7 linked regions of the Rattus norvegicus genome follow. The protein of the gene in region 3 purifies or fractionates together with the protein of the main gene of each other region. This does not show direct contact. Links are inferred from orthologs where the notes say so. Each region holds a gene or a part of one and is shown on either strand. Other genes may lie near its edges.

What was found.
Region 1: the proteins of Cul4a (region 3) and Chek1 purify together in Homo sapiens (affinity purification with western blotting; 4 studies listed by BioGRID). This does not show direct contact. The link is inferred for Rattus norvegicus from reciprocal best matches to the Homo sapiens genes CUL4A and CHEK1.
Region 2: the proteins of Cul4a (region 3) and Cops9 purify together in Homo sapiens (affinity purification with mass spectrometry; 3 studies listed by BioGRID and IntAct, with this or other methods). This does not show direct contact. The link is inferred for Rattus norvegicus from reciprocal best matches to the Homo sapiens genes CUL4A and COPS9.
Region 4: the proteins of Cul4a (region 3) and Trpc4ap purify together in Homo sapiens (affinity purification with mass spectrometry; 7 studies listed by BioGRID and IntAct, counting the BioPlex papers as one, with this or other methods). This does not show direct contact. The link is inferred for Rattus norvegicus from reciprocal best matches to the Homo sapiens genes CUL4A and TRPC4AP.
Region 5: the proteins of Cul4a (region 3) and Dcaf10 purify together in Homo sapiens (affinity purification with mass spectrometry; 4 studies listed by BioGRID and IntAct, with this or other methods). This does not show direct contact. The link is inferred for Rattus norvegicus from reciprocal best matches to the Homo sapiens genes CUL4A and DCAF10.
Region 6: the proteins of Cul4a (region 3) and Pwp1 purify together in Homo sapiens (affinity purification with western blotting; 6 studies listed by BioGRID and IntAct, with this or other methods). This does not show direct contact. The link is inferred for Rattus norvegicus from reciprocal best matches to the Homo sapiens genes CUL4A and PWP1.
Region 7: the proteins of Cul4a (region 3) and Sox2 purify together in Homo sapiens (affinity purification with western blotting; 3 studies listed by BioGRID, with this or other methods). This does not show direct contact. The link is inferred for Rattus norvegicus from reciprocal best matches to the Homo sapiens genes CUL4A and SOX2.

What each region holds. Positions count from the first base shown.
Region 1 is NC_086026.1:44,627,040-44,631,094, forward strand, and holds the start of Chek1 (serine/threonine-protein kinase Chk1), read right to left. Parts: upstream 2,805-4,055; 5' UTR 2,780-2,804; exon of another isoform or gene 2,599-2,779; intron 2,582-2,598; exon of another isoform or gene 2,071-2,581; 5' UTR 2,054-2,070; coding exon 1,989-2,053; intron 164-1,988; coding exon 1-163. UniProt on the Homo sapiens protein: Serine/threonine-protein kinase which is required for checkpoint-mediated cell cycle arrest and activation of DNA repair in response to the presence of DNA damage or unreplicated DNA.
Region 2 is NC_086027.1:100,659,387-100,663,606, forward strand, and holds the start of Cops9 (COP9 signalosome complex subunit 9), read right to left. Parts: upstream 2,821-4,220; 5' UTR 2,806-2,820; coding exon 2,743-2,805; intron 572-2,742; coding exon 499-571; intron 1-498.
Region 3 is NC_086034.1:83,121,630-83,125,908, reverse strand, and holds the start of Cul4a (cullin-4A), read left to right. Parts: upstream 1-1,451; 5' UTR 1,452-1,468; coding exon 1,469-1,616; intron 1,617-1,905; coding exon 1,906-2,021; intron 2,022-4,279. Other genes in the region: Pcid2 (PCI domain-containing protein 2), read right to left, coding at 474-509. UniProt on the Homo sapiens protein: Core component of multiple cullin-RING-based E3 ubiquitin-protein ligase complexes which mediate the ubiquitination of target proteins. As a scaffold protein may contribute to catalysis through positioning of the substrate and the ubiquitin-conjugating enzyme.
Region 4 is NC_086021.1:164,587,102-164,590,637, reverse strand, and holds part of Trpc4ap (short transient receptor potential channel 4-associated protein), read left to right. Parts: intron 1-1,064; coding exon 1,065-1,166; intron 1,167-2,157; coding exon 2,158-2,241; intron 2,242-3,205; coding exon 3,206-3,296; intron 3,297-3,536. UniProt on the Homo sapiens protein: Substrate-recognition component of a DCX (DDB1-CUL4-X-box) E3 ubiquitin-protein ligase complex required for cell cycle control.
Region 5 is NC_086023.1:64,430,991-64,434,526, forward strand, and holds part of Dcaf10 (DDB1- and CUL4-associated factor 10), read left to right. Parts: intron 1-2,914; coding exon 2,915-3,117; intron 3,118-3,536. UniProt on the Homo sapiens protein: May function as a substrate receptor for CUL4-DDB1 E3 ubiquitin-protein ligase complex.
Region 6 is NC_086025.1:19,883,628-19,887,917, reverse strand, and holds the start of Pwp1 (periodic tryptophan protein 1 homolog), read left to right. Parts: upstream 1-1,454; 5' UTR 1,455-1,513; coding exon 1,514-1,585; intron 1,586-3,700; coding exon 3,701-3,759; intron 3,760-3,884; coding exon 3,885-4,069; intron 4,070-4,290.
Region 7 is NC_086020.1:119,463,659-119,467,945, forward strand, and holds Sox2 (transcription factor SOX-2), read left to right. Parts: upstream 1-1,472; 5' UTR 1,473-1,835; coding exon 1,836-2,795; 3' UTR 2,796-3,884; downstream 3,885-4,287. UniProt on the Homo sapiens protein: Transcription factor that forms a trimeric complex with OCT4 on DNA and controls the expression of a number of genes involved in embryonic development such as YES1, FGF4, UTF1 and ZFP206. Binds to the proximal enhancer region of NANOG.

The sequences.
Region 1 (4,055 bases), on a different chromosome or scaffold from region 3:
TTCCCTCCTGTGGCCATAGAATTTCACTACATTCTCATGATTTAACATCTTATTGATGCAGATCTCTTTCTTAATATTTTCTGGGCAGTCTATGGCCCGCTTCATGTCTACAATTTTCACTGCAACAGCTTCTTCAGTTATTCTATTCACAGCAAGTTGAACTCTTAAAAAGAGAGAGAGAGAGAGAGAGAGAGAGAGAGTGAGTTACAACATTTTCACCTCAGAATTCCATTTCTCCTACATCTTCAAAAGATTAGTGACGCACACCTGTAATTCCAACCTTCTAGAGAGAGACAAAGGGGTCTAAGTTCAAGCCAGCCCAGCCTGGACTACAAAGAAACTTTCAAAGCAGGGAGTGATGATGTGTACAAGTCTTGGATCCCAGCACATGAGAAGCAGAGGCAAGGGCTGGAGAGATGGCTCAGCCGTTAATGGCTAGGCTCACAACCAAAAACCTAAGAGAAACAGAGGCAAGCAGAGCGCTTGGAGTGAGTTTGAGGCCAATGAGACTCTCTACAAACAAAACTGGGGAGGGGGGGAGGGGGGTGCATTGAGGGGTCACCTAGAACGATGGCTCAGCATTTCAGTGCACTTGCTTCAGACCTCAGTACAGTTTCCAGCACCCACGTGGTAGCTCATATAACCCATCTGTAATTCCCAGTTCTGGGGGAATCCCACACCTTCTGGCCCTCTGTCAGCCCTGAACACATGTAGTACACTAACATGCAGGCAAGCAAACACACATATTAAGAAAACACATAAATCTTAGGACGAAAAAAAAACTTCAAGAAATTAAATGTAACACATCCCGAACTATTCTTCCTTTCTTCATCAAGGAAAATGAAATGGCCTCTGCCATGGTCTCCCGAGCAATGAGACCAGAGATGAGTGCTTCAGTGAAGGCTCCAAGTCTTGGAAACATGGAAACCTGGTGTGTGTACTGATGAGGCTTTGAAAAACAGTAACAAGGCTGGATTACATCACATGTACACATGATCTGGCCCCACGGCAGCATTCCTTTCCCTTTATGAATCTCATGCATATATGCCTGAGCACCTCTGAGGTAAGAGCCACTAATTCTATCATCAGATGAAGAAACAAAGACACATAAAGCTCGCTCAGGAACACAAAACACAACTAGGATCCGCTGAGTGTGAGGGTCTCCAGTCAGGCTGGATGCCGCCAGGGTCTTTTCATTATCTCATTTAAAATTTTAAGACACGTGGTTTGTTAGGGAAATGATTTTCTTATAAAAGAAAAATTTAAAAAAAAAAAAAAAAACTGGATCGACTAACATGGGATTGTAATACCTACCTGGGAGGCTACAGTGTGCCACAAGTATAAGGCCAAAGCTGGGCAATTTAACAAGATTTTGATCTGAACAAAATCAAACGCAAAAAGAAATTTGTTGTTCGTTTGATAGGCCTAAAAATGTAGCTCGTCGCAGAGCATAGGCCCAGCATGTGTGGTGATGTGTGGTGATGTTCAATGTCCACTATGACAAAAGAGGAGGGACAAGTGTGGAGAAGTAACTTCACTCAGAGCCTTGATTTACAAATGCAAATATCCATGCTCTTTGCCACTTGGAATAAAGGATTTTTTTAAGTGTGTATTCAGACAAGAGATAGAAAACTAAAACAAGCAAAGAGGTAATATTTTAATAGGGATTGTGGAGATGGCTAGGCAGGTTAAGCCGCTTGCTGTCAGGCCTGATGATCAGAGTTCAGTCCTCTGAACCCTCAACAGAACCAGCAAGTGTCTTCTGACCTCCACAGGTACATCCATGGCAGAACGAACACACACACACACACACACACACACACACACACACACTAAAATGAGGGCTCAAACTTACTCTGCATAGGAACCTTCTCCCAAAGTTTGCACCAGATCCCAGTCTTCAACAAAAGTCAGGCGCGCACGCGCGCGCACACGTGCACACAGACACCCACACACACTAAAAAATTTAAATGAGGGCTCAAACTTACTCTCCATAGGCGCCTTCTCCCAAAGTTTGCACCAAATCCCAGTCTTCCACAAAAGGCACTGCCATGACTCCAAGCACAGCAACTGTAAAATGCAGGATTCCAGAAAATACGGGCGATGAGTGTAAATTCTCATCACCTGTAATGCCGTTGAGCCATGTCTCCTGCCATGATTCCGCACGACTTTGTTTTCCCTTTACATCTCATCCATATTTACCCAAATCATAAAGCTAAATTTAAACATTTTGCCCTGTATATCACAAATCCTGTTTCTACGATAGACCTCCGCCTTTATGCAAAACTGAACACTTGCTTAGCTGGAAGTAACTGCTAAACAAAACAAAACAAAAGCTTTCAGATGAATGACCCGGAAAGGGAGTTGGGGGCAGGACAGGGCAGGGCAGGGCAGGGTGCCGGGGTGGGGGACAGCTGGGTGTAACTAAGGGAATTACTTCCAGAGCAGCCCCTCCTCCCACCCGCTCACTTCCAATTCCCACCCCAACCGCACGTGTCCCCAGCACCGGGAGGGCACGGGGCGGGGCCAAGCCGCGGAGAGAAGCGGAAGGCAGGGACCCCCTAAAGCCGGAAAAGCATGCGAACCCCGGAGGCTTACAAAAAGCTCTGGTCCCTGTACGCTGGAGAGCCGCAGACCACCGGTTCCAGCCCGCACTCCGGGCGGCCCTCCCACCTCTCCGCTCATCTGGGCCACTCCCTCACCATGCCAGCCCGCACTAATCAAGCCCTCTGGGTACTTTGCTGGAGTTCTTTCCCACCGTTCAGGACGCCCTTCTCACCAAGCAGTCCTTTGCCAGCTGCCACAGGAATCCAAGTGCACAGCTTTTCCCGCCAAAACCTGCTTGCGTCATGCTGTCGCAAAAGCGCACACCTTTGCCGTAAAGTGGGCCGGCGCGCGTTGTCCTATCCCGAGCTCTACCGAGGAGCAATTTCGGTAGACTGACCGAGCAAGGGCCCCTCCTTCAAGTACTGGGCGTGCTTGGTTGGAGTTCTGATGCGGCCGCGGTAAGACACAGGCTAATGAGATTTGGTATTGACGACTGCTTTGGTGAGAAGTGATCTGAGTCCCAGAGTGAAATGGCATCGGGCGTGCACTATGCTGGACGCCTTACATTGGTACAGAAAGAATCCATCCAAACGGCGCATCGGTTGGGCCCAGGGCAAGAACCCGGGTTCCTTGCCGGTCAGAGCCTGCAAAGGCTGCACGGTTAACTACGTAAACCGATCTGCTCGTGACCTAGGAGGCCCTGGTAGGAAGGGTTTATGAGGCTCAAACCAAGCGCCACAAAGTGCTCTGTAAACACACAATTGTGGCCTCAGTATTCGAACTGAGAAGCTAGCAACTGCTATTGGAATTAATTCTAAAAAAAAAAAAAAAATGAAGGGAGCAAGAGTGGTGCATGCTTGTAAACCTAGAAATTGCTTGTTAACCTAGAATTTGGAAAGCATAAGCAAGAAAACTGAGTCTGAGGCAACCGAGCTATGCAGAGTTAGTCTTCTCAAACAAAAAAACGAAGGCAAAAAAAAAAAAAAAAATCCACATCGCCTCATAGTCCAGTGAGGGTCACCAATTTTGCCTGCACAGGCTCCAAACCGGCTAAATCTAACGTTATTTTTAGGAAGACTATTTGCCTGTACTAGCTTTCTTAAACGACTATGGTGGCCCATCACTCTAAGAAATGAGGCAGGAGATACTCAACCAAGATGCTCTCTTTCAGACACAAACAGCAAAGTAGACTTAATGGTGACTCATTTATAACCTCGGCCTAGGGAGGCTGAGGCATGGGAACTGCTTCAAGAAGCTGATCAGTCTGAACCAATGTGGGGGTAGAATATGAATGTATATATATTATACATGTTATCATATATATATATACACACACATATATATATACACACGTATATGATCCTTTCTAAACAAAAGTGATGAGTTAGGAAACACAATATTAGTTACTAGGCTAGACTTATGGTAGATGCTTGCCAGGCATGCAAAAGGCCCATAATAAAGTGTAAAATGTCAATTCTAAGGGAAAGGGCTTACATACACAAAATAAG
Region 2 (4,220 bases), on a different chromosome or scaffold from region 3:
GAATGCTCTTAGCTATGCAACAGAAGTGCGTCCTCCGCTCTGACCTCACTCAGGGAGAGCTGAAGCAGAGCTCAGCTGTTACTCTGCAAAGGCAGCAGTGGCCATGAGTCCAGGTGGACAAGCAGGTGTGGCCCAGGAAAGAGAGGGATACATGCTGTCACCGGGAGAGTCCAAAGATGACAGAACCATGAGGCCTCTGTGCCCAGGTCTGGGAGACGGGCTGTAATCAATACGTCCATTTGCACACGCCACTCATGCCACTGCTCAAATTCAAGCCTGGGCAGTAAACTGGGGAGACACTTACTTCCTGCTCTCCTCAGACAGGGCGGACAGGCAGAGCTGACTGCCAGGGGATCACTCCACACACCTGGCACAGCACAGACAGAGGCACAAGGTCTGGGCCACACTGTCCCATGATCCAAATTACCCATGGCACAAAACTGCCCACCGCAGAGGAAAACTCAGATTAAGCCTGGCACCCAATGCTGGCAGACTTACCGTTAAAAAAGTCCGCATGAACTGCCTTTTCATTGGCTGCCAAGTCCATCAGGAGCCCGGTGCTACCTCCAGCCTGGAGAATGAGAGGGAAGGTCATTCTGTGTGCTTGTTTTCCAAGAGCAGGTGGTGGCTTCCTTAGCACACCCATCCCACCTCCCTGGAACAGAACACTGAGTGACAAGAAGAATGCTCAAGATGGGAGCCAGAATTTCCCGGACAAAGAAAGTAGTGTGAATGGGGAAGCCAAGCAAATGATTTTAAAGCTCTCTCAAGGTCCTCAGTTTTCCTTGGCATGGCCTCCTGTGGTACTCTCCTGCCGGAGTCTTCAGTCCCCTCCTAGACAATGCCAGAGGGCACAGAAGTACACCAGCAAGCTGGACATCTGCCCTAGAGGCTCCCTTCTCTCTGAGATTGCAGCCATTCCCCTTGGGAAGCTGCTTGTCCCAGCGCTGAGGTCTGGGGTACTGCTCTTTGGGAGAAGCCTCCAGGACTGCCACCAATGGTGGTGCTAAAACCTGACCACACCCAATCTGTGAGATATGAACACTCTTTGTGCTCTTTGGTCACCCAGAACGGTGGACGCAGAGACCTGTGGTTGCAGCACACTGGACGGCTGGCTCTGGCCTTTTTCTGCCTGGGCCTCATCTTTCGAGGGCTCCTGGTTCAACTTTCCCTGGAGTGACAAGTACTTGAGCATCTCCTGTATTCCCTTTCGAGTCTTCTTTCTGCCTCTGTCCCCAGCCCCATTACTGGACAAAGCCATACAGATTGCCTCTAAAGTCCTGGCTGAGCCCTCCTCCTGCCTCCACTGCCTCAGTCACAATTTCTTTAAGGTTTCGTCCTTCCTGTTTCCATTGCTTTACCATCTCCCTATAAACCGAAGCTCCCACCTCTCCAAAGGACCAACCCCCATGGGAAGCCAGGCTTCCTCATCGGGATGCCCTCACATCACCTGCTGCAAGGCTGAGGGGCTAAGGCTGAATGCAATTGCCTCATCAGGGGATCACAGAGCCCATACATTCACTCTCTGGGCATTACTATGTAGATCTGCTTGTTCCCACCCCTCTGTGTTCAACTATGTACTGCCCGTTTTGTGTGTCCACTTGACACAAGCTAGAGTCATCAGAGAAGAAGAGCTCAGTTGAGGAAACACTTCCATGAGATCCAGCTGTAAGACGTTTTCTCAATTAGTGATCAATGAAGGAGAGGCCAGCCCATTGTGGGTGGTGCCATCCCTGGGCTGGTGGTCCTGGGTTCTATAAGAAAGCAAGCTGAGCAAGCCACTAAGCAGCACCCCACCCCCATGGTCTTTGCGTCAGCTCCTGCTTCCAGGTTCTGGCCCTGCTTGAGTTCCTGTCCTGCCTTCCTCCAATGATGTGAAAGTGTACACCAAATGAATCCTTCCCTCCCCAGCTTCCTTTTTGGTCATAGTTTTTGGTCACAGCAATAGAAACCCTAAGACAAACTACTTGGCATCCCCTTCCCTTAGCGGGCCAGGGAGCATCGCTCTTCCAAAGCTCTGCTACTTTGGCTCTCGTCATCCATACCCCAATGTCAACAGAACACATTTTTCAATATTTGAATCAGGAGAAGCTCCTCTCTTAAGCCTAATCTGAGCCAACCAAAACCCCATGGACACGTCTGTATGGCACCCCCATCCCACCCTTGCTATTATACTTAGAAATTGCAGTCGGCCTCTTGGGGCCACACCTAACATCTCTCAGGTCCCGGGATGCATTCGCGCACCTCCCTACTCGCTGAGCTTTGAGGAGCAGGAAGCTGACATACACGAGCTAGCTGACACTCCTGATCATAACCACCTCACTGAAACACCTGTATCAGATAAATATCTGTGACCATGGTATAAATCAAAAGCACAAGATCGCTCCAAAAGTCTGTGTGTCTACACGAAATAACCGAGTCCCAGCACAAAGCACACAGTTGCCACACACTATCCCTTGCCCTTCTCTCAGGGCTTGGTGGCTAGAGGCCAGTCAGTGCGTAAACCTCGCTCGGGCCTTCTCTCTCCGGAATATTTATGAGGAGCCACAATCAAGTAATAGAGAACAGACCCTACTTCCTCGCTGCAATTCATGTAACAGTCTTGGACCCTGCGACCGTCCCCGCCCGCTCCCGCTTCCCCAGTCTCTGGCAGATTTTGAGTCCCCGAAGGCCTGGGCTCCCACGCAGGTTTGTAGGCGTGCTCCCACCCCCAAGCATCGCTCCGCGCCGCCACCACCCCACCTCATCCAAGTCTACATAGGGCCCCGCGCCCTCGGGAAACATCTCATCCACAGCTGGTTTCATCTCGAGACTGGCGGCGTTGCGCTCACTTCCGGCCAGCCCCTTCTACTTCCGGCGGCGTTCCTCCGAGCAGGTCTAGGCCCCGGAGGACCGCGCCTCGGTGGCACCCCGCTAGCCTGGCTGCTGAGCTGCTCTCTGAGAAGACTAGGTCAACAGATTATGCGTTAAGGACCAAAAACACCACATGAGCACTGCACGAGTGGTCGGAGAAAGGAGACTATCCATTTCCCAGCAGGGTTGCAGTTCAAAACCGTCAGAATGACTACTGTACAGAAATCACAGGCTGTAATGGATTGGCTAGAAGGTGGGGGTATTGAATCTTTAGGTACTGTAGAGGTAGCAGAAATCCAAAAGTAGTACGTGCGCAGTGGCCGCTCTCAGAGTCACCTCGGCCAAGATGAAGAAGCAGCCCAGTGCATGCAGACAAGATGGGCTTTATCTACAAGGTGGGAGAGTGTGAAATCTTAAAACTTTAAGTAGGGATTCCTAGCCTATGGGCATGGACGAGCCTTGAGGATGTTGTTAAGTGAAATATAAACAAACGCTGTGTACCACTCATGTGAGGTCTCTAGAGCAGTCAGACTCATAAGTGCCGCAGTATTGGGGATGGCAGTTGTTCAGAGTTCTAGAGGTGTGTGGTGGGGTTGGGGGGAAGGTGTCCCCTGAGAAGAGGCAAGGCTGATACATTTTAGAGTGTCATATTGTACCATGGTTTTTAAAGAATGAAGAAAGAAGAGAGGAGGAAGGGACAGAGAGGTGTGGATCTTTGTAGGAGAGGGCCTAAGCTATTCTGACAGTCTAGATTACTCTAATGAGGCTCCTGGATGTTCCCCTAGGATCCTCTGTGCACCTCCTGGTAAAATCCAGGTTTAACAAGTATCTCTGTGAAGTCACTGTAGCAAGAAGCCTGAAATGCAACCGATACCTGCCTTTTCTCCATATCTGATAGGGCTCCTCACCCTCCACTATCCCGGGCAGTGTCTTCTGATCATGCCTTCAGCAAAGCATCTGTGTTACTCCTGAGTTTTTATTTCCCATCTACCCCAACCCTGCTCCTTGACTGTCAGTCCCTGTTGCTACTGTGGTTGAGCAGAGCCTCTCTCCAGCGATACAAGACTATTGCTCCTCCTGCCCCGATGGTTTTGAATGTTTTCCCTTTCTCTGCTTTCAAAGCAATTGGGAACTGTTGGTTGGTTGGGTTGGATTGGGTGATTTTGTTTTTTGTTTGTTTTTTTTTGTTTGTTTTTTTGTTTTTTTGGTTTTGTTTTGTTTTCCTTTAACAACTTCGAGGCTTCAGGGACTTGGGGGGGGGGTGTGGGCTGCTAGAGTGAGAACGGGGGTCAAGGGTAAGGACTGACTCAGCCAATGGGAATTGAGCCTGGTCACTCCTACCCTTGAAGCCCAAGTGAACTGTGCAG
Region 3 (4,279 bases):
CAGTATAACCAGTTAGAACGTTCATCAGACTTTCCCATCTGGCTGTCCAATGCACCAGGTGTGTTGCCTAGTGGGATTCACACCTTCAACATCCTAACAGGCCCTCTGCCCTAGGTTTGTGTCGAAAACGCAAACACAACCCTCCGCCCAGATGCAACACTGTTTGCCTGTGCCATTGGCAGGCTGTGAGCAAAGCCTTGATGGACGCCGCTGCCTAAAGACACAAAGTGCTTCGTGCAGACAGTGCTACACAGACAACCGTTTCCACAAGTGACCCCGATCTTGCTACCTCCACCTCGAATCCTCCTCTGTCCCACCGGGAAGCACCTGCAACTTCTGAGCAAGGCAGGATGCTCAGTGCACGTAGCAGACCCTCCTCGCCTCGAGGCCAGCTGCAGGACACCAGGCACTGTCCGACTCGGTTCTAGGACTCACCCCGTGGCTAGTAGACAAGGACACCAAGCGAAACCCACCTGCTGCAGGTACTGGTTAATGGTGATGTGCGCCATAGCAGCAGCCGCGGGGGCTAAGTGCCTCACTTCCGGCGCAGGTCCGTCTACCCTCCTTGTCCCCACACTGTACCCTCCGCACTTTGGTTCCGGAGCGGGTGGCGCAAGCCGAGCAGAGCTGGCTCGAGCACTTCTTTTGGGTAGCTGTCAGTGCAATCACTGGGACGCCACAGGTCCGGCGGGGGCGCGCGCGCGAGGTCGGGGACTAACGTGGAGGAATCCCAACCGACTTGGAAACGTGTCCCTGCGTCCCTGGTCACATCTGTGTGCTAGTGACCCGATTCCTCGTACCCCTCACCCCTTCCCCGATTATGGTGACCCGCACCCCAACCCTCAGTGTGCAGAGGTGCTCCTGGCTCTCACAGCCTGGAGCAAACAGAGCAAAAGTCCAGATCGCACTGGGAAGACGTCCCGCGCACTCCTAGCCCTCGCGGGATGTTTTCCTGAGTCCTCCCACAGATACTCCTGACTGGGGCACCCCAGATCAATGGGTGTAGAGCATTCCGCCTCCCATCCCACCCTCTACGTGCCACCGCACAGGGCGTTCCTGAGCCCTAGGATGTGAGGTGGCCCCAGAGGCAAGGTTGTGGGGTGCTTTCATCCACTCAAGTCTTCGCCGGGGTGTCCCGGCCCTCGATGTGACGTCGGGCTGCGAGCTCCCGAGCACTCGGCGCGGGTGTCACGGCGCCCTCTCGCGAGCATTCGTTGTAGAACGTCTGCTGCGAGTCCCCAAGCCCTCCTTGGGCGGAGTCCGCGCACCGGAGCCGGATCATTCCGGTGCGCGCAGCGGCGGTTGGCCCTCGGGCGCGCGGACCCGGGCGCGAGCAGAAGGAGGAGGAGCCGAGCGCTCACGGGCGGAGCCCGACAGGAGGAGGAGGAGGAGCCAGGCGCGCACGGACGGGGCGCAGGGCAGGAGGAGGAGCCGGGCGGCGCGGGGCGGGGCGGCGTCCGGCCCAGCCATGGCGGACGAGGGCCCTCGGAAGGGCAGCGTCTCGGCTCTCATGGGCCGCACCAACGGCCTCACCAAGCCCGCGGCGTTGGCCAGTGGCCCCGCCAAACCGGGAGGCACGGGCGGCTCCAGGAAGCTGGTCATCAAGAACTTCCGAGGTGGGTGCGCTCCGGTGAAGAGCGAACGGGGCGGCCGGCAGGTCGCGCGCTCGGACAGGGCCTCCTGGGGCTGCCCGGCCGGCCCTGTCCCCGCGCCCCAGCCCGCCTTGTTCCCGCACTGTCCCGTCTCGGCGCTGCACCCTGACATGTCCCTGCACCTCATGCTCCGCCACGTCCCCGCGCCCCAGCTGGCCCTGATCCCGCACCTCCTGGCTGGCCCGGCCGGGCCCTGCCTCGGTGCCCCGGCCTGTCCTGTCCCCGCGCGGCCGTTGACCCTCTCTCCCCACAGACAGGCCGCGGCTGCCTGACAACTACACTCAGGACACGTGGCGGAAGCTTCACGAAGCGGTCAAGGCCATCCAGAGCAGCACATCCATCAGGTACAACCTGGAGGAACTGTACCAGGTGAGCGGCGGCGAGGGCCTGCGAGCACCTGGCTGTTTTCCTCCTCCCGCAGCCACGGGGGCCGACGCTAGGGAGGCCTGCCCGGGGGAGAGCTGCGGCCCGAGCCTTCCTTAGCGGAAGCCGCGAAGCCCTGGGTCAGCAGGTGTTTCTGTGGATCGCCGCCCTGGATTAGTGCTGTGTGTTGAGGCTTAGACCAGGCTGCTTAGGAGGTGTAAGTTTCCCCATCACCAGAAGAAAGGAGCTGTTTGGAGCTGAGAGGCACAGGGCTCCAGCAGTCTTCAATGTTATCAGAACGCCAGTTGTTAAACATAAAGCTCATTACGGCTCCATTTGCTAGTAGGGTCCCTGTGTTGTAACGCACCGCCCTCCCCAACACACACACACACTGCTTTGTGGTTTAATTGTTGCAAATAGGTTGCAGACGGATTCCGGTAATTTAAAGATGGGTTGTGTCTGCAACAGGAATTAAAGTCGTCAGAAGTACATTTTGCTGTTTCAAGCACACTCTTCTGTCATGGTTTTTATACAATAGTGTTCGCTAAATAGTGTATGTTTTAGTTTCATGATAGAGCATATAATTACTTACATGTTACTCAAAAGTTACCTAAGAGGCTTGTTTTATCCTGATACAAACTGAGGGTACTGTAAGTTACAGGAAGCACAAGAAGAAAAGTAAGCAGCAGTACCCAGAGGAAACTGTGACAGTCCATCACTCCCAACCCCAAATTCCCAAATTCAAGACTTAGTGAGCTCGTGAAGAAAAAAAAAATCCACACCTGACCTCCTCTGCCTGGCCTCAGACAAAACACAATGTATGCTAGAACTATTGAATAAAGTGACGGTGAGCTAGGGCCAGCCAGATGACTCAGTAGGTAAAGCGCTGGCCCAGCAAGCTGGCAGCCTGTGTTCGAACCTCAGAACCCTCAAAACGGTGGCAGGGGAATGACTCCAGACCATTCTCTGACCTCCAGACTCTTGATGTGACACAAGCACCCCACCCATCCACCCACATAGCATGTCCACATAGGGTAATGAGAACCCTCAAATTGTGTTCAGGGTATATGGGATATGAACTGGCTTTGTGTTTAGACTTGACCCTCGTTCCCCAAATGCATCATCGTGCATAAGCAAGTATTAAATCCAGAAGAAAAACATCTGAAATCCAAAACACTACTGGCCCCGAGCATTCTGGGTAAGGGACCACTGGCCTACAGTGATGGCTTGGTACATGTGTGTGTCTGTTCTTTGTCTTAAGTTTGTGAGTTGATTGTAAGGTTTGTTTTTGTTTGGTTTAGACAGGGCTCACTGTGTAGCTTTGGCTGTTCTAGAACTCACTATGAACCACAGGCGACCTCAGTCTGACAGAGATCCTCCTGCCTTTGCCTCTTGGTGCTGGGATTAACGTTATGTACTGCTGCACTTGCCTAAAGATTTACTTTTATTTTTATCATTTTAAGTATGTGCCTATGCGTGGTGGGTTTGAGTATATGAATACAGTGTTGGGGACATGTAACATGTGCTCCAATAGGTTTATTCTTTTAGGGGAAGAGGAGGTCAGTTTTTATTTTTTAAGAGTTTCAGTGTGGGGCTGGCAAGATGGCTCAGCAGTTAAAAGCATGGTCTGCTCTTCCAGAGGTCCTGAGTTCAATTCCCAGCAACCACATGGTGGCTCACAACCATCTGTAATGAGATCCGATGTCCAGAGGTGTGTCTCAAGACAGCTACAGTGCATTCATATATACATGAAAAAAAGTCTCAGGGGATAGTAGTTAGTCCAGGCTGTCCCTCATGTAAGTATTGGGGCTATAGGCTTAAAATAAGTTGTTTGCCAGTCCCTCAATGAAAACTTTGACTGTTTGCATCCCCTGTAAAGAAGGGCATTCATTTCTTCCCATTCCCCACCCGTGGCAGCTGCTGCTGTGTTTTATCTACTCCTCTTCCTCTATCTAAAAGGAGGTGTGTGTTGGCTGGCCTCTGTCCTCTGTCCTCTGTCCTCTGGTTGTTGCCTAGAATGGAGTTTGCCGTTTACTTGAGTGCTAACAGTTTGGTATTTTGGGTTTTTGTTTGTTTTTGTTTTTTATTACTTGAAATAGAATTCCATCCCTTTCCCCCTCCTTTCTTCTCTTCATGGCCCCCAGACACCCTCTTTCAAATCCCTCCTGGGTGTCCCCAAGTGCATATTGACAAGTAGGGTGGATATAGTACAGCTGGCTTATTCATCAGGTAATGGACATTTGGGTGTCTGATGGGAACATTGC
Region 4 (3,536 bases), on a different chromosome or scaffold from region 3:
GGTGACAGAATTGTACTGATTCTCTCTCTCTCTCTCTCTCTCTCTCTCTCTCTCTCTCTCTCTCTCTCTGTGTGTGTGTGTGTGTGTGTGTGTGTGTGTGTGTGTATTCCTGTCCTAGCTTTCATCAAACTCTCAGTTGGCACTTCTGTGTACCTGGTTCCATGAAAATACTATGGCCCCTGCTGTCATGTAGGATACATTTGGGAGAGGAAGTTTACCATAGAGAAGGTCACCAGTTGCAGAATGCCTGCTGACAGATAGGCATGGTGTATGGGCACAGAAGAGCACACTCTGTGAAAGGACAGTTGCCAAGTGTCCTGACTGGCTGGCGGTGCTCAGTGATATTGCAGAAGCTGTTTTTGGGCAGAGGCCTGAATGGGATGAAGAGGCAGCATGAGAGTGTTCTAGCCAGAAGGCCCCCACAAAGAGAAGGCCTGTAGGAGGACATGGCATGGTCATGAAAACCAAGGTGGCCAGATGGTGTGGCAGGTGTGAGCTGCTCAGTTTGTTGTAGCCACAGAGATGGCATGGCCGCACAGGGCCTTGAAGACACAGTCACTCCCTGGGTGTTAACAGAAGCGTGAGAACTAGGGCAAGCATTTCTATAATGACATTGTCCAAGGCCTGTTCAAAAACTCACTCAAGGAGCTGGGTGAAGGTTCCCTTCCTGTGAGAAACAGCTGAGGAAGTCTTCTGTGCTGCACAGACTGTAATAACAAGCCTGGGTGAAAGAGGAGAGGTGTCAGAGTGGGTCAGGCCTCTGTGTCTGTGACCCTGGCCACTGAGAATGCAGCAGAGCTAGGCTCAGGGCTAAGACGGAGACGATATTGGACGTGCTGAGGTGCAGGTGACTTTGAAAAGTCATATAGAAACGTTCGGTGTACCACACAGACCTGGAGATGCGGAGGAAGGGCTCTAGTGAGTGACAAGCATGCGCAGTAGTGCTGGTGGACCCTCAGCTCCTCCCAGCAGGAGTGGGCAGAGGCGGATGGAACTCTCTGCCCCGCGGCAGAGCCGCAGAGCGGCCCCAGTCCTGCCCTTTACCTCTGACCCGTTTGTTTCAGGAACAAGTACCTGCTGCTCAACAACCAGGAGCTAAATGAACTCAGTGCCATCTCTCTGAAAGCCAACATCCCTGAGGTGGAAGCCGTCCTCAACACTGACAGGTGATCCTGGTGGGAGACAGCCGTGGATGCAGGGCTCCCAAGGCACACACATAACTGCCACTCACCATGGCTTTGTGTGCTAGATACTCACATCTCCTGCATTTCCTAACTGAGCATCACAGCAGCCCTCAAAAGGAAGTGCCATCGTCATCTTCCCATCTACATGTAGATGACAGAGGTGTCATCTGGCCCCTGCCAAAGGTCAGCTGTACTCTGCCCTTCCACCTTGTCCCATGCTAATGGCCCCTTTACTGGTATCCTCAGTTCCTGCCCAGTGGCAGCTGTGCCAAGCAGGGTAAGAAGAAGCAGCCCCTTCACCCCTTGCCCTATGTCTGCCTCATCTTTGGGATCAGCACAGTGACATGCCAGCCTCTCGGGGGCTTATGAAGTGTGAACCTGATCTAGCAACTAGAGTCACAACCCCCACCTCCTCCTGATAAGATGGACCTGCCCAGAGTCTACAGGGATGGAAGTGGAGCTGCTGTGCGGACAGAGTCTAAGGGCCCAGACACCTGCCACCATGACAGGCCTAATCCCTTTCTCACCTACTACTGCCTCTGCCTCAGACAGGAAACTGAGGCCTAGAAGCTCACAGCTGAGCTGGAACTGACCTGGGGCAGGAAAAAACTCTGGGCCCTACCGATTGGCACAGATGTTATTCTATCTGGCATACTCTGCTGTAGCCTGGATTAAACCCGTTTGTGATGTAAGTGGCCCTTCTCCTGGAAGTCCGGAGCCCCATCTGGCCCTGGGCGTGCCTCTGCCTCTTGCCAGTCTGAGGAGGGAAACGTGGCCTAAGGTGCAGAAGTGCACTTGGCTATGGAGCTGACAACGGCACAGTCTGAGGTCCCAGCACACAGTGGAGCAAGAGAGCATCCTCACAGACTCAGACATTACCCGCTCGTTCAGCTCCACACCCACACAGGACTAGCTCAGTGGCCCATCAGCCATTGAGATCTGTCACCAGCTCTGTCTATCCCTTTGATTTCAGGAGTCTGGTGTGTGACGGCAAGAGGGGCTTACTAACTCGGCTGCTGCAGGTCATGAAGAAGGAGCCAGCAGAGTCTTCATTCAGGTGAGTAAGGAGCAGATGGACCCGTGAGACCTCTAGGAGCCAGGGGGTTCCCAAGGGTAAGGGGTTAGGTGGCCACTGACTCCATGGGACTCGGCTGGTAAGTGTGTGTATCCTTGTCACATGCCAGCAGAGTATGCTAGGAGGTGACTGAGCATGCATCAAGCTGGCACTAGAGAGGTGGAGCACAAATAGGATCCAGGCTATGCCTGCGTGACTACTTGGGATCATGGGAAATAAGCATGAAAAGAAAGAAACCTGCTTCAGTGCAGTATGGGAAGAAATAGAGCCAGGAACCACCCCAGAAGCCATCCGCTAGGTGGCTAAGCACCAAGGAGGAGGCTGCAGAGCTCCTGGCCACCTAGGTGGGCAGGGGTGGGATTGGGAGGTTTAGACAAGGGGATTCCAGCTGGCCTGGCTACAAGGCTCTGTCCCTACAAGGTCCCCTGTCATCTCAGCCTTACCTATTCAGACCCTCCTTCAGGGATCCCAGCTGAGCCTCTGGGCCACTCAGTGTCTGTTGGCTCTTCCTAGAGAGCTCAATGCATATGAACTCAGTGACATCTCCACGCATACCCTTCTGCTGGCCACACATCCCTGGCTTCTAGGTCCATGTCCTTCCAATATTCTGAGAGTGGAAAGCCTAGAGTGGTTTTACATGGAACTTATTAGCGGCTACTCTCTGAGCCCAGATGCAACTGTGTATGCCCATATACCACAGAAACCCATTCTGGTATAGCTACATGAAAGACTGGTCCCTGCTGAGCTGTGAACACCATATACGAGAATGGCGGTTCTCTTGTTCATTGCTGTGTCCTCAAGACCTAGGGCTGGTACCCAGACTGGAAAATGTTAAGTAAATATCAGATACTTGGCTGCAAACCGCTCTGACCCTGGGGCCATTGAGCCTGCACCAGGGGAGGACAGCCAAAGCCACCTGGGCCAGGGTTCAACATTTTGGTCATAGGTTTTGGCAAGCCCGGGCTGTGGAAAGTTTTCTCCGAGGGACTACGTCCTATGCAGACCAGATGTTCCTGCTGAAGCGAGGCCTTCTGGAGGTAGGGTGGAGGGACCAGGAGGGTGGAGGGCAGGGGCGGAATCCTCCCAGCCCCATGCATTGATTCCTCATCTTGAGCCTAAGGAGTTTGGTCAGAAACAGACCTGTTCTGGTTGTTCCAAGTGCACATTGCTCAGGGTTGGTCCTGGGTTGCCAGCAGTGGGCTCTCTGTAGGTACTGAGGGCTAAGGGACTCAGGAATGTAGAATATATAGAGTTACCCAGCAAGCCCTTTGACCCTG
Region 5 (3,536 bases), on a different chromosome or scaffold from region 3:
GTTGTGAGCCACCATGTGGTTGCTGGGATTTGAACTCAGGACTTCTGGAAGAGCAATCAGTGCTCTTAACCGCTGAGCCATCTCTCCAGCCCATGTGTATGATTTTTAAGCTAGAACAGTGCTGAAAGAAATGAATAGCTACTACATGCTTATGGATGAAAAGGCTCAATATTATTAATAACAGTGACAAAGTGGGAAACTAGAACTCATTATTAGAAGCATCATTATTAGAATTCTTACTACTGGAATTAATAGTTTGCTAGCTTGTTTTTATTTCATGATTGTTTGTTTTTGTTTGTTGTTTTGTTTTCTTGAGACAGGATCTCTCTACATAGTCCTGGCTGTTCTGGAGCTCTCTATGTAGAAAAGCTGGCCCCTAACTCAAAGAGATCTGCCTGCTTCTGCCTCCAGAGCTGGTATTAAAGGTGTGCACTACCACACCTGGTTCAGTTTGCCAACTTTATAAGATATTAACCATAGTTAGTCTATGACACAGCAATTTTACCTCGTGGGTATGTCTACTCATGAAAGTGAACATTTATGTGCACACACAGAGACTTGTACATGAATGTTTACAGTAATATTCTTCATAATTGCCTCCAAAAGTAGAGCCGATATGATTTCTGTCAAGTGGTAAATAGGTTAACAAAAGGTAGCGTATCTTCTGGGCATGGTAGTACAGGCCTTTAATCCTAGCACTTGAGAGGCCAAGGCCTACCCGGTTTACACAATGAGTCCAGAACAGCCTGGGCTATGTAGAGAGACTGTCTTACAACCAAAAAAGACAAAAAGTACAGGGGTTGGAGAGACAGCTCAGCAGTTAAGAGCACTGGCTGCTCTTCTAGAGGTCCTGAGTTCAATTCCCAGCAACCACATGGTGGCTCACAACCATTTGTAGTGGAATCTGATGCCCTCTTCTGGTGTGTCTGAAGACAGCATCAGTGTATTCGCATATATAAAATAAATAAATCTTAAAAAAAGAAAAAAGTAAAATTCCTGAATGTAAATAAAGTAATGCATATTTCAAAACTTGTTGCCAGCTAGGAGTGTTAGCTTAGTGGTAGAGTACAGGGTTAGCATGTACAAGCCCTAGGTTTGATTCCTAGCACCACAAAAAAAGAAAAAGAAAAATATTGTATACCAGAAGTATGCACAATATGCAATTTAATACAATGTTATAATTAAAAGTAAATAAAGGTTAATATGTGTAAGATAATGTACAAATCAATCATGTTCCTATTTTGTTGTGAGTGTATCCTAACCAATAGTTAAAAGGTTTGTTTCTTTTCTTATTGTGAGACAAATCTCACTTTGTAGCTAATTTATCCTTGAACTTGTTATCTTTCTCCCAAAGTTCAGATTATAGGAATAGACAAGTACTTTTGAAATAACGTGTATATGTGTGTTTCATATATAGACTTAAAGTATTCACAAATATGAATACTCTCTTAAGGACTGAACTACAGGTGGGCTTCCACATATAGCTAAAGTATGTAATTTTAAAGAAAATATATAACCTTGATAGTAATTATGGGACCTACATTTAAGTCTTTACAAGATTTAAATAAAATCGATAAAAAAAGACTCAAAAACTACAGTAATCTCAGAAGCAGGAGAATCTCAATAAATTCTCTTCCAACTTGGCCTACATAAGAAGTTTCAGGTCAGTCGAGGTTACATAATGAGATCCTGTCACAAAAACCAAAGTGCGGGTAAGGACCAGAGATTAGACATAAACTTAAAAAGACAGGAAAAAAGAAGAAACTTGATAATAAAAGTTTAGAAGCTGGCAGTCAGGCAGATGAATGGCAACTGACTTCAGGCAGCTTCACTCCAGATGTTTAGAAAGCTAATTCCTGGTAGAGAGAGGTGATTTAGAGTTTATGGCACTCACTGCTCTTCCAGAAGACCCAAGTTCAGTTCCCAGCCCCTGTATCAGATGGTTTAAAGCCTCCCTCCTGTAATTCCAGCTTGAGGGGATCCAATGCCATCGTCTGGCCTCTCCAGGCACCTGGTCACATGTCATGTACACATGCACACATATAAACACAAGCAATTGAAAACAAACCGAAATCCTCAGTCGCAGAGGGAAAGTAGTAGCTAGAGGAGACTTGAGTGAGAGATATTTAAGAACTTTAGCTCTACTCTTCACCCCGTCCAGTGGGCAGTAGATCATTTTCCCAGAAGTTCCTAACTCTGTAAAGATGTAATATAGAAAATACTGCCATCTTGAAGGATGCCAGAAACAGTTGGAGGCTTCACTGCTCTGCCAAAACCAAGGGGCTGAGTAGTAAAATTCATACAGTTTTAGCTTCTTTCAGTAGTCACCTCACAGATATTAGCACTAAGGGGCTCTTCAGAAATGGCTTCATCCTCCTTGTACTCAAGAGTTCCCATTCAGCTTGAATTCCTTGCTCTCACCTAAATGAGCAAGCACACAATGATAGTCAGACAACTGAGAAAAACCTGACGGAGGACGCATACTACATAGGAAGATTGGGGGATAGAGAGACAACACAGGGAGAATAAAACATAGTAACCATTTACCCATGTTCTCTTAGATATAAACTTGAATGCTTGAAGCAAAATTAAGATCTAGTAGGATGAAGCCTTTAACTGGCTAATACTGTTCAACCTCTGGGTAATGAGTCACAGCTCTTCATTTATAAAGACTAACTATGTTTTATGGGCTGCCAAGATGGCTCAGTGGGTAAAGGTACTTGCTACCAACCCTGCAACCTGAGTTTAATCTCTTGTCTATAAAGTTGAGTTCCAGGACAGCCAGGGCTAAAAAGCATTGTAAAATATAAAATATGTGTGTGGCTCTCAGTTCTTTAAGAATAAAATAGTTTGACTGGTACTGGGAGTTGGTATATTTGTGGTAACACTGGGTTTGTTGGTCTGATTTCTGTAGGTGCACAGAAGATGGGTGTCCACACAAAAAATTCTTTCATACACGTTTTCTTATGCGAATGAGATTAACACCAGATTGTTCCAAAATGTTGATCTCAACGTCCTCTGGATATCTCTTGATTTTGCATGATCTGGACTTGACTAAGTCTTTAGAAGTAGGCAGCTATCCCATTCTGAGAGCAAGAAGAACTACTTCAAGTTCAGGTAAGGTTTTTTGGTTGAAAGCATCTGAGCCACGGAGGGGCAGGTGTTTCTGGTCTAAGTATGCTTTCAGAGACAGGAGGTGAAGCCATTCTCCAGAAGCTGACTCACAGCTTTCCACTGAGGTGTGATGACTTTCATGTATCTCTGACAATGTTAACTTGTGCCTCTGGAATGACTCTTAGCTCTAAAAGCTCTTTCGGATTTCTATTAGCCAGAGAATCATCATCCTTGCCTCAAGCTTAGTGATGGCCCAATATGATACCTGTCTTAGGGTATTAAATTATAGTCACTTCAACAGTTCTAAGTGTGTAGTCTGTACTACACTTCTGATGTCCACTCACAAGCTGATGCCATCTTGGAGCATCCTCTTGCTGGAGCCTTTTTTATTGTTCATTGCTGATTTCATTAAATGTAAATGA
Region 6 (4,290 bases), on a different chromosome or scaffold from region 3:
AGTGCCCCAAAGAATCAATGGGGGTGACCTTAGCTGTGACTCACAGCATTGGGGATATGGGACCTGAAGAGGCTACCTCCTATATCCAGAACAGAACCCCAGTGGAGTGACAGAGACAGCAAACCCACTCACAAAACTTTCAATCCAAAATTTATCCTATCTACAAGTAATGCAGGCATGAGGACGGGAGCAGAGGCTGAGGGAATGGCCAACCAATAACCATCCCAACTTGAGACCCATCCCATGGGCAAGCACCAGTCCTTGACACTATTAATGATACTCTGTTATGCTTGCAGACAGGAGTATATTGTCCTCTGAGAGGCTTCACCCAGCAGCTGACTCAGACACAGACACCCACAGCCAAACAGTAGATAGAGCTTGAAGACTCTTACGGAAGACTAGGAGGAAGGATTGTGGGTCCCAAAGCGGATAGGAACTCAGAGTCAACTAACCTGAACCCTTTGGGTTCTCGCAGTCTGAACCACCAACCAAAGAACATACAGGCTGGACCTAGGCGCCCCTCCCCATATGTATCAGATGGGCAGCTTGTTCTTCATGTAGGTCCCAAACAACTGGAACCGGGCTATCACAAAAGCTGTTGCCTGTATGCGGGATATGTTCTTCTAGCGGGGCTGCCTTGTCTGGCCTCAGTGGGAGAGGAAGTGCCCAGCCTCGCAGTAACTTGAAGTGCCAGCGGGTAGGGGGGAGTCTAACCAAGGGGGCCCTACCCACCCAGAGAAAGGGGGGGGAGGATTGGGGGAGGAGGTGCCCGGGAGGGAAGCAGTGAGCCGGACGTAAAGTGAATTTTAAAAATTAAAAAAGAAAAATAAAGAAATATAAGGGGGCTGGAGAGATGGCTCAGTGGTTAAGAGCACTGACTGCTCTTCCAGAGGTCCTGAGTTCAATTCCCAGCAACCACATGGTGGCTCACAACCATCTGTAATGGGATCCGATGTCCTCTTCTGGTGTGTCTTAAGACAGCTACAATGTGCTCGTATACATTAAATAAATAAATCCATATATATATGGAAACTCCTTTAAAAACTACATTTAATCTAAAGGTTAAGATAAACCTCCCACAGATGTCTCCACTTGTCATCTCTTTTTTTTTTTTTCTTTTCTTTTCTTTTTTTCGGAGCTGGGGACCGAACCCAGGGCCTTGCGCTTGCTAGGCAAGCACTCTACCACTGAGCCAAATCCCCAACCCCTTCCACTTGTCATCTCTTAGTCCATGGAACTACGCGGAAAATGGAGTGGTGGTACAGGATTTTAACTCTAGAGTCCCAAGAACTTTAGAGTTCCAAGTTCTTCCTTTGTCTCCAAGAAGCCACTGTCCAGGGTCATATTTGCATGCGGCCTCGCCCACCTCCTGCAAGTTCCCCGCCCCTTTCCCTTGGCGCCTGCTAATGACGTCAGGCAGGCGCCCGCGCCTGCGCGTTGTTCCTCTACGTGGAGCTCATAGTCTCTCCCAGCGACCAGGTGTCTTGTTCGCGCTGGGTTCAAGCGGAACATCATGAACCGCAGCCGCCAAGTGACCTGCGTGGCCTGGGTCCGCCGCGGCGTGGCCAAAGAGACGCCAGACAAGGTGAGGCGTGTGTGTGGGGAGTCGCCTCCGGATGCCCGCGGGCTCCGCCCCGTCTGGGGACACACGCGCCGGGCTTGAGCCACTGGATGGGACCTGCTAAGGTTGGCCGGCCTGTAACCACGTGTGGCGTAGCCACGGAGTGTGGCTCTGTTGCGCAGGGCGAGTAGAGACAACGCGCTCCTTCCTGTCAGGAGCTGGAACCCTGGTCCCACCCCCTAGATGCGCGAGCACGTGGACTTTGTGCAGTGGGAAGGGGCGGGGGTGCTTGCTTGTTAGGAGTTTCTTACGGTGATCCAGATAAAACGTTCTGGGGCAGAGGGAACAAGGTGTCAGTGTGACACATTATGAAGGAAGTCATACAAAAGCTGGAGACTGTGGCAAAGGAGGCGGTTACTCAACCGGTTTTATTCATTACACTAAGTGTTTTCTGCAAGCGAAGCGGAGCCTAGAGTACCGGGATATGTTGGAGCGAAATAGGGCAAAGCCCTGGTTTTTTGCACTTGACTTTCGGGATGGCGGGGGGCGGGGAGAGGTGTAAGTGTCCTGAAAGAAGTGAAGAGGTTGCTGTGATAGACACGGGGTGGCCTAGACATGAATTTACATGCGATGAGGGATGGAAATACTTAGAGGTGTAAATTCCGCTAGAGTACAGATAGTGTTTAGCCACTGTTTTTCTTTGGTGTTTTGCCAACAGCAAATAATCAGTATATATTTATAGGATAGGGACAACAAATTACCTCATTAAAATTTCTCCAAAAGGAAATTGTTTTTATTTTTAAGGGGACATATACAGCTTTCGAAGAATTAGGAGAGTCTTAAAAATCCCTAGTTCTCATGTGCCAACCCCAAGCAATACAAATACTTTGTGTGTGTATGCGTGTATGCCCATGTTCATGTGTTTGTGTGTTTGTGCTCTGTCTGACTGAACCCAGAGCTAGCTAACTGTGATAGAGTGGTTAGCCAAAGCACCAGGAATTCTGTCTCTGTAGTCCTCAGGGCTGAGATTATAGGTGTGCTCTACACTACACCTAGCTTTTAAGTGGATTCTGGGATGGAACTTAGGTCCTTATGCGTGCTCAACAAACACTTTACTGACTGACCCCCCCCCCCTTCCCAGTGTTTTTCAATCTTTAATTTCTGGATCTTTCTCAGGCAGAATTGAATGTCATTCTCAGGAAAATTCTTGTATCACAGAATCCTTTGTTGTTGTTTTGGAGACCGGGTGTCATTCTGTAGCCCACGGTGGCCTCAGACTTATGGCAATCCTCCTGCTTCAGCTTCCTAAATACTGGAGTCAGAGGTGTGAGCTACTGAGGATCTGGAGCAATTGATTCACCTTCAGTCCTGGAGCTTTGCCATTATGGCCAACCCACACTGTGGGCTTCAGTAGATAAACAATACCAAACCAGTGTTGGCCTTTCCAAGCTTAATGTCATAGTGTTAGGGTCTTTTCTTTTCTCCAGATAGGGCTCACTCTGTAGGCCCGGCAGGACTGGAACTCACAAAGATACGCCAGCCTCTGCCTCCACTACCGCCTGGCCCTTAGGTGTGTTAAAGGCACTGAGTAGCTGTTTAGGTGAGGGGATGCCAGTTTTGAAAAGAATAGCCTTAGTTTTTGAACTCCATTAGAACAAAAGATAAACAAGTGGGAAATGTTACTGGAAGTTGGGAAAATAGAGCTGGAATTCAAGATTGGGGGAAGTTGGCGGGTAACTGTTTCCCTGAGTCTATTTACATTTGGCAGGGATGTTGGGGAAAAAGCAGAGGACCAATGTTATGTGGTTTGTTAATAGGTGACCGCTGGCAAGAGAGGGAGGCGCCCTTGGAGTCTGGGGTAGTTGGAAGAAAAATGGCCACCACAGATCCATTTTCCAAAAGCCAGCCTATTTGAATATTGAGGAAGATAGAGGAGCAGAGTGAACATGACCTCTGAACAGCGTTAGGTGGGAGGGGTCTTTATACAAGCCCCGCCTCCTTAAATTTAGAGCCTAGATCAATGTGTGAGATTTCTTGATGGCTCTTGAGGTTGTAGTTAACATTTGCCTGAAGACCCAGTTCAAAGGCTTCCGATGATGTCTGTAAATATGCTCTAATGAAGTGTTTGCTCCCTCGTAGGTAGAGCTAAGTAAAGAGGAAGTGAAACGTCTCATTGCTGAAGCAAAAGAAAAGTTACAGTAAGTGACTTCAAGTAGTTTCCAAGTGTTGCTGACTGTGGTCAAGTCCAGGTGAAGTTGTGTCATGTGCCTGTTGTTAGGAGGTGCCATCAGGGTGACGTCTTTTTCCTCTCTGTTTCACTCAGAGAGGAGGGTGGGAGTGAGGAAGAGGAGGTAGGCAGTCCTTCAGAAGATGGCATGCAGAGAGCCCGGGTCCAGGCCCGGCCTACGGAGCCGCTGGAGGATGGGGATCCACAAGACGACCGTACACTGGACGACGATGAGCTGGCGGAGTACGACTTAGATAACTATGACCAAGAGGACAACCCAGGTGAGAGTGGCTCACCTCCGCTGTGTCTGCCCATAGCGCTCCAGGTCCTGCTGTCTTATCCCACAGCTTTCGTCTCTGACTCTCCCTGGGGTCAGGTCCGATGATTTGGCTCAAGATTTGGACTTGTTTCCTAAACTGGTTTAGAGGGAAGCTCGGATCCTCTGGTCTAAGGTATAACTTTGAGATCTAAAGAGACCGTCTACTTGATGGCACGGGTCGGG
Region 7 (4,287 bases), on a different chromosome or scaffold from region 3:
AAGAGAGTGGAAGGAAACTTAGACGGGGCTTTGTTTGACTCCGTGTAGCGACAACAAGAGAAACAAAACTACCTATTTGTAACGGACGTGGTGCTGTGGCTCTGGGCTTTTTGAGCGCCTGCCGATTGAAATCTTTACGTCTGGACAATGGGAGATCGGCTAAAATTACCCTCTCGGGTCCTGGGCGGGCAAGATTCTTGAGCCCCTACCTCCGCCCCCAGCCCATTCTCCCACAGCCTGGGCTTGCTCGGTCCCGGCTCCTCGGGTTCGGCCGGCCTTCCCTCTGCGCACGCCGCCTGCACCTGCACCTCTGGACCCCGCGCGTTTCCCAGGCCCCGGCGCCTCTCGGCCGGGCCTTCGCGACTACCACTGTGCCAATCAGCAGGGGCAATGCGGGCTGCGCTGCCCCATCCTGGGAACGCTGCGTGGGAGGGAGTTTGTGAGCGCAGCCTAAATGCCACCTCCGTGCCTCGCGGTGGGATGCCAGGAAGTTGCGTGACCCTCCCCCATCCTCTGCCCTCTGGAGCTTCTTTCTGTTGATTCTTTCGTCCCCTAGCTCTCATCTGAAATTGCCATCACTGAAATCCTCTTGTGTCGGGGTTGGGGGTTAGAAAGAGAGGGAGGAGTGAGTTCAAGCTTTGCGTTTGCACCCTTTAGATGGGACAGATTGGTGGAGGAGGGAGTTAGGGTTCAGGACACGTGCTGTGGTTCCTTGAGCCACACCTGAGTCGGCCTAGAAGAAGGCTGTGTACAGGGCCTGGCCCTAGCTCTACAGTCAGCCATATGGGCAGAGGACTCCTGTTTGGGAACCCAGCCGATGACGCGGAAGCCAGGAGGGCGCTGAGGCCTGGGTCTAACTTCTGGTCTGTTCTGTGAGAAAAGGGGGTGAGTGGGTGTTGGCAACAAGGTTGGAAGAGGGGCTGGGACAGAGAGCAGTGCCGCGGATGAGCGGAGGAACAATGGCACACCACCTCCGGCCCTGCCAGCTTCCTGAAATACTAGTTGGACGGTCGCCCCGAACCACCCATGGGCCTCGCCCCACCCTGGCCCCAGCTTTCCGCGCCCCATCCACCCTTATGTACCCAAGAGAGAGCCAATATTCCGTAGCATGGGGGAAAGGAGCTGTCGTCTTGGTGCTGTTTACCCACTTCCTTCGAACAGGCGTGCCGCCGTGACCTGTTGCTGAGAACGGGGGGGATACAAAGGTTCCCCCGCGGCGGGCTGCAGGCTGCGGGCCCGCCTCCCCCGCGCGGTTCGGGGCACAGCGCTCCGCTGCGCTCGGCTCGGCGGCGCGGCAGGCCCCGCCCCCTTTCATGCAAAACCCTCTGGCGAGGCTGGGCTCCGGCGCAGGAGCCGGCGCTCGCTGATTGGCCGCCGGAAACCCATTTATTCCCTGACAGCCCCCATCACATGGATGGTTGTCTATTAACTTGTTCAAAAAAGTATCAGGAGTTGTCAAGGCAGAGAAGAGAGTGTTTGCAAAAAGGGAAAAGTACTTTGCTGCCTCTTTAAGACTAGGGCTGGGAGAAAGAAGAGGAGAGAAAAAGAAAGGAGAGAAGTTTGGAGCCCGAGGCTTAAGCCTTTCCAAAAACTAATCACAACAATCGCGGCGGCCCGAGGAGGAGAGCGACTGTTTTTTCATCCCAATTGCACTTCGCCCGTCTCGAGCTCCGCTTCCCCCCAACTATTCTCCGCCAGATCTCCGCGCAAGGCCGTGCACGCCGACGACCCCGCCCGCGGCCCCTGCATCCCGGCCCCCGCGCGCGGCCCCCGCAGTCCCGGCCGGGCCGAGGGTCGGCGGCCGCCGGCGGGCCGCGCCCGCGCCCAGCGCCCGCATGTATAACATGATGGAGACGGAGCTGAAGCCGCCGGGCCCTCAGCAAGCTTCGGGGGGCGGCGGCGGAGGAGGCAACGCCACGGCGGCGGCGACCGGCGGCAACCAGAAGAACAGCCCGGACCGCGTCAAGAGGCCCATGAATGCCTTCATGGTGTGGTCCCGGGGGCAGCGGCGTAAGATGGCCCAGGAGAACCCCAAGATGCACAACTCGGAGATCAGCAAGCGCCTGGGCGCCGAGTGGAAACTTTTGTCGGAGACCGAGAAGCGGCCGTTCATCGACGAGGCCAAGCGGCTGCGCGCTCTGCACATGAAGGAGCACCCGGATTATAAATACCGGCCGCGGCGGAAAACCAAGACGCTCATGAAGAAGGATAAGTACACGCTTCCCGGAGGCTTGCTGGCCCCCGGCGGGAACAGCATGGCGAGCGGGGTTGGGGTGGGCGCCGGCCTGGGTGCGGGCGTGAACCAGCGCATGGACAGCTACGCGCACATGAACGGCTGGAGCAACGGCAGCTACAGCATGATGCAGGAGCAGCTGGGCTACCCGCAGCACCCGGGCCTCAACGCTCACGGCGCGGCACAGATGCAGCCGATGCACCGCTACGACGTCAGCGCCCTGCAGTACAACTCCATGACCAGCTCGCAGACCTACATGAACGGCTCGCCCACCTACAGCATGTCCTACTCGCAGCAGGGCACCCCCGGTATGGCGCTGGGCTCCATGGGCTCTGTGGTCAAGTCCGAGGCCAGTTCCAGCCCCCCCGTGGTTACCTCTTCCTCCCACTCCAGGGCGCCCTGCCAGGCCGGGGACCTCCGGGACATGATCAGCATGTACCTCCCCGGCGCCGAGGTGCCGGAGCCCGCTGCGCCCAGTAGACTGCACATGGCCCAGCACTACCAGAGCGGCCCGGTGCCCGGCACGGCCATTAACGGCACACTGCCCCTGTCGCACATGTGAGGGCCGGACCGCGAACTGGAGAAGGGGAGAGATTTTTCAAAAAGATACAAGGGAATTGGGAGGGGTGCAAAAGAGGAGAGTAAGAAAAATCTGAATGCTCAAAAGGAAAAAAAAAATCTCATTACCCGCAGCAAAATGACAGCTGCGGAAAAAAACCACCAATCCCATCCAAATTAACGCAAAAACCGTGATGCCGACTAGAAAACTTTTATGAGAGATCTTGGGACTTCTTTTTGGGGGACTATTTTTGTACAGAGAAAACCTGAGGGCGGCGGGGAGGGCGGGGGAATTGGACCATGTATAGATCTGGAGGAAAAAAACTACGCAAAACTTTTTTTTAAAGTTCTAGTGGTACGTTAGGCGCTTCGCAGGGAGTTCTCAAAAGTCTTTACCAGTAATATTTAGAACTAGACTCCGGGCGATGAAAAAAGTTTTAATATTTGCAAGCAACTTTTGTACAGTATTTATCGAGATAAACATGGCAATCAAATGTCCATTGTTTATAAGCTGAGAATTTGCCAATATTTTTCGAGGAAAGGGTTCTTGCTGGGTTTTGATTCTGCAGCTTAAATTAAGGACCGTTACAGACAAGGAAGGAATTTATTCGGATTTGAACGTTTTAGTTTTAAAATTGTACAAAAGGAAAACATGAGAGCAAGTACTGGCAAGACCATTTTCGTGGTCTTGTTTAGGGCAAACGTTCTAGATTGTACTAAATTTTTAACTTACTGTTAAAGGCAAAAAAAAAATGTCCATGCAGGTTGATATCGTTGGTAATTTATAATAGCTTTTGTTCAATCCCACCCTTTTCATTTTGTTCACATAAAAATATGGAAATTACTGTGTTTGAAATATTTTCTTATGGTTTGTAATATTTCTGTAAATTGTGATATTTTAAGGTTTTTTCCCCCTTTTATTTTCCGTAGTTGTATTTTAAAAGATTCGGCTGTTATTGGAACCAGGCTGCCGAGAATCCATGTATATATTTGAACTAATACCATCCTTATAACAGTTACGTTTCCAACTTAAGTTTTTACTCCATTATGCACAGTTTGAGATAAATAAATTTTTGAAATATGGACACTGAAATTATGCCTGAGTCTTTCATTTCTTTGGCTAGCATGCTTGTACATAACTTCTTGGGGGATTGGATAACTGTTCAGCCACCAAGATCTTGGTGTTACCAGCAATGTCTGTTAGCATTAACTGCAGAAGAAAAAAAAATGGCTGGATGATTAAAAACGGGAAACTGAAATGCGCTGACATTTCTAGAATAGAAACTAGAAGCATATATTGTAAGTCCACCCCCTCCTTTCCTGAGCAGCGTGAATAAGCGCGATGTGGGCTTAAGCTCTCTTGTAGCACTTGTTGCCAGAACGAGACGATTCTGAAATTTTTCGTGTAGCTTAGTAGATGGGGTACTGAGCCAAATCAGAACCAGGTTGGCTGGGTTGGTTTTCATTTTCTTCACAACACAATGGCCCTTTGAAAT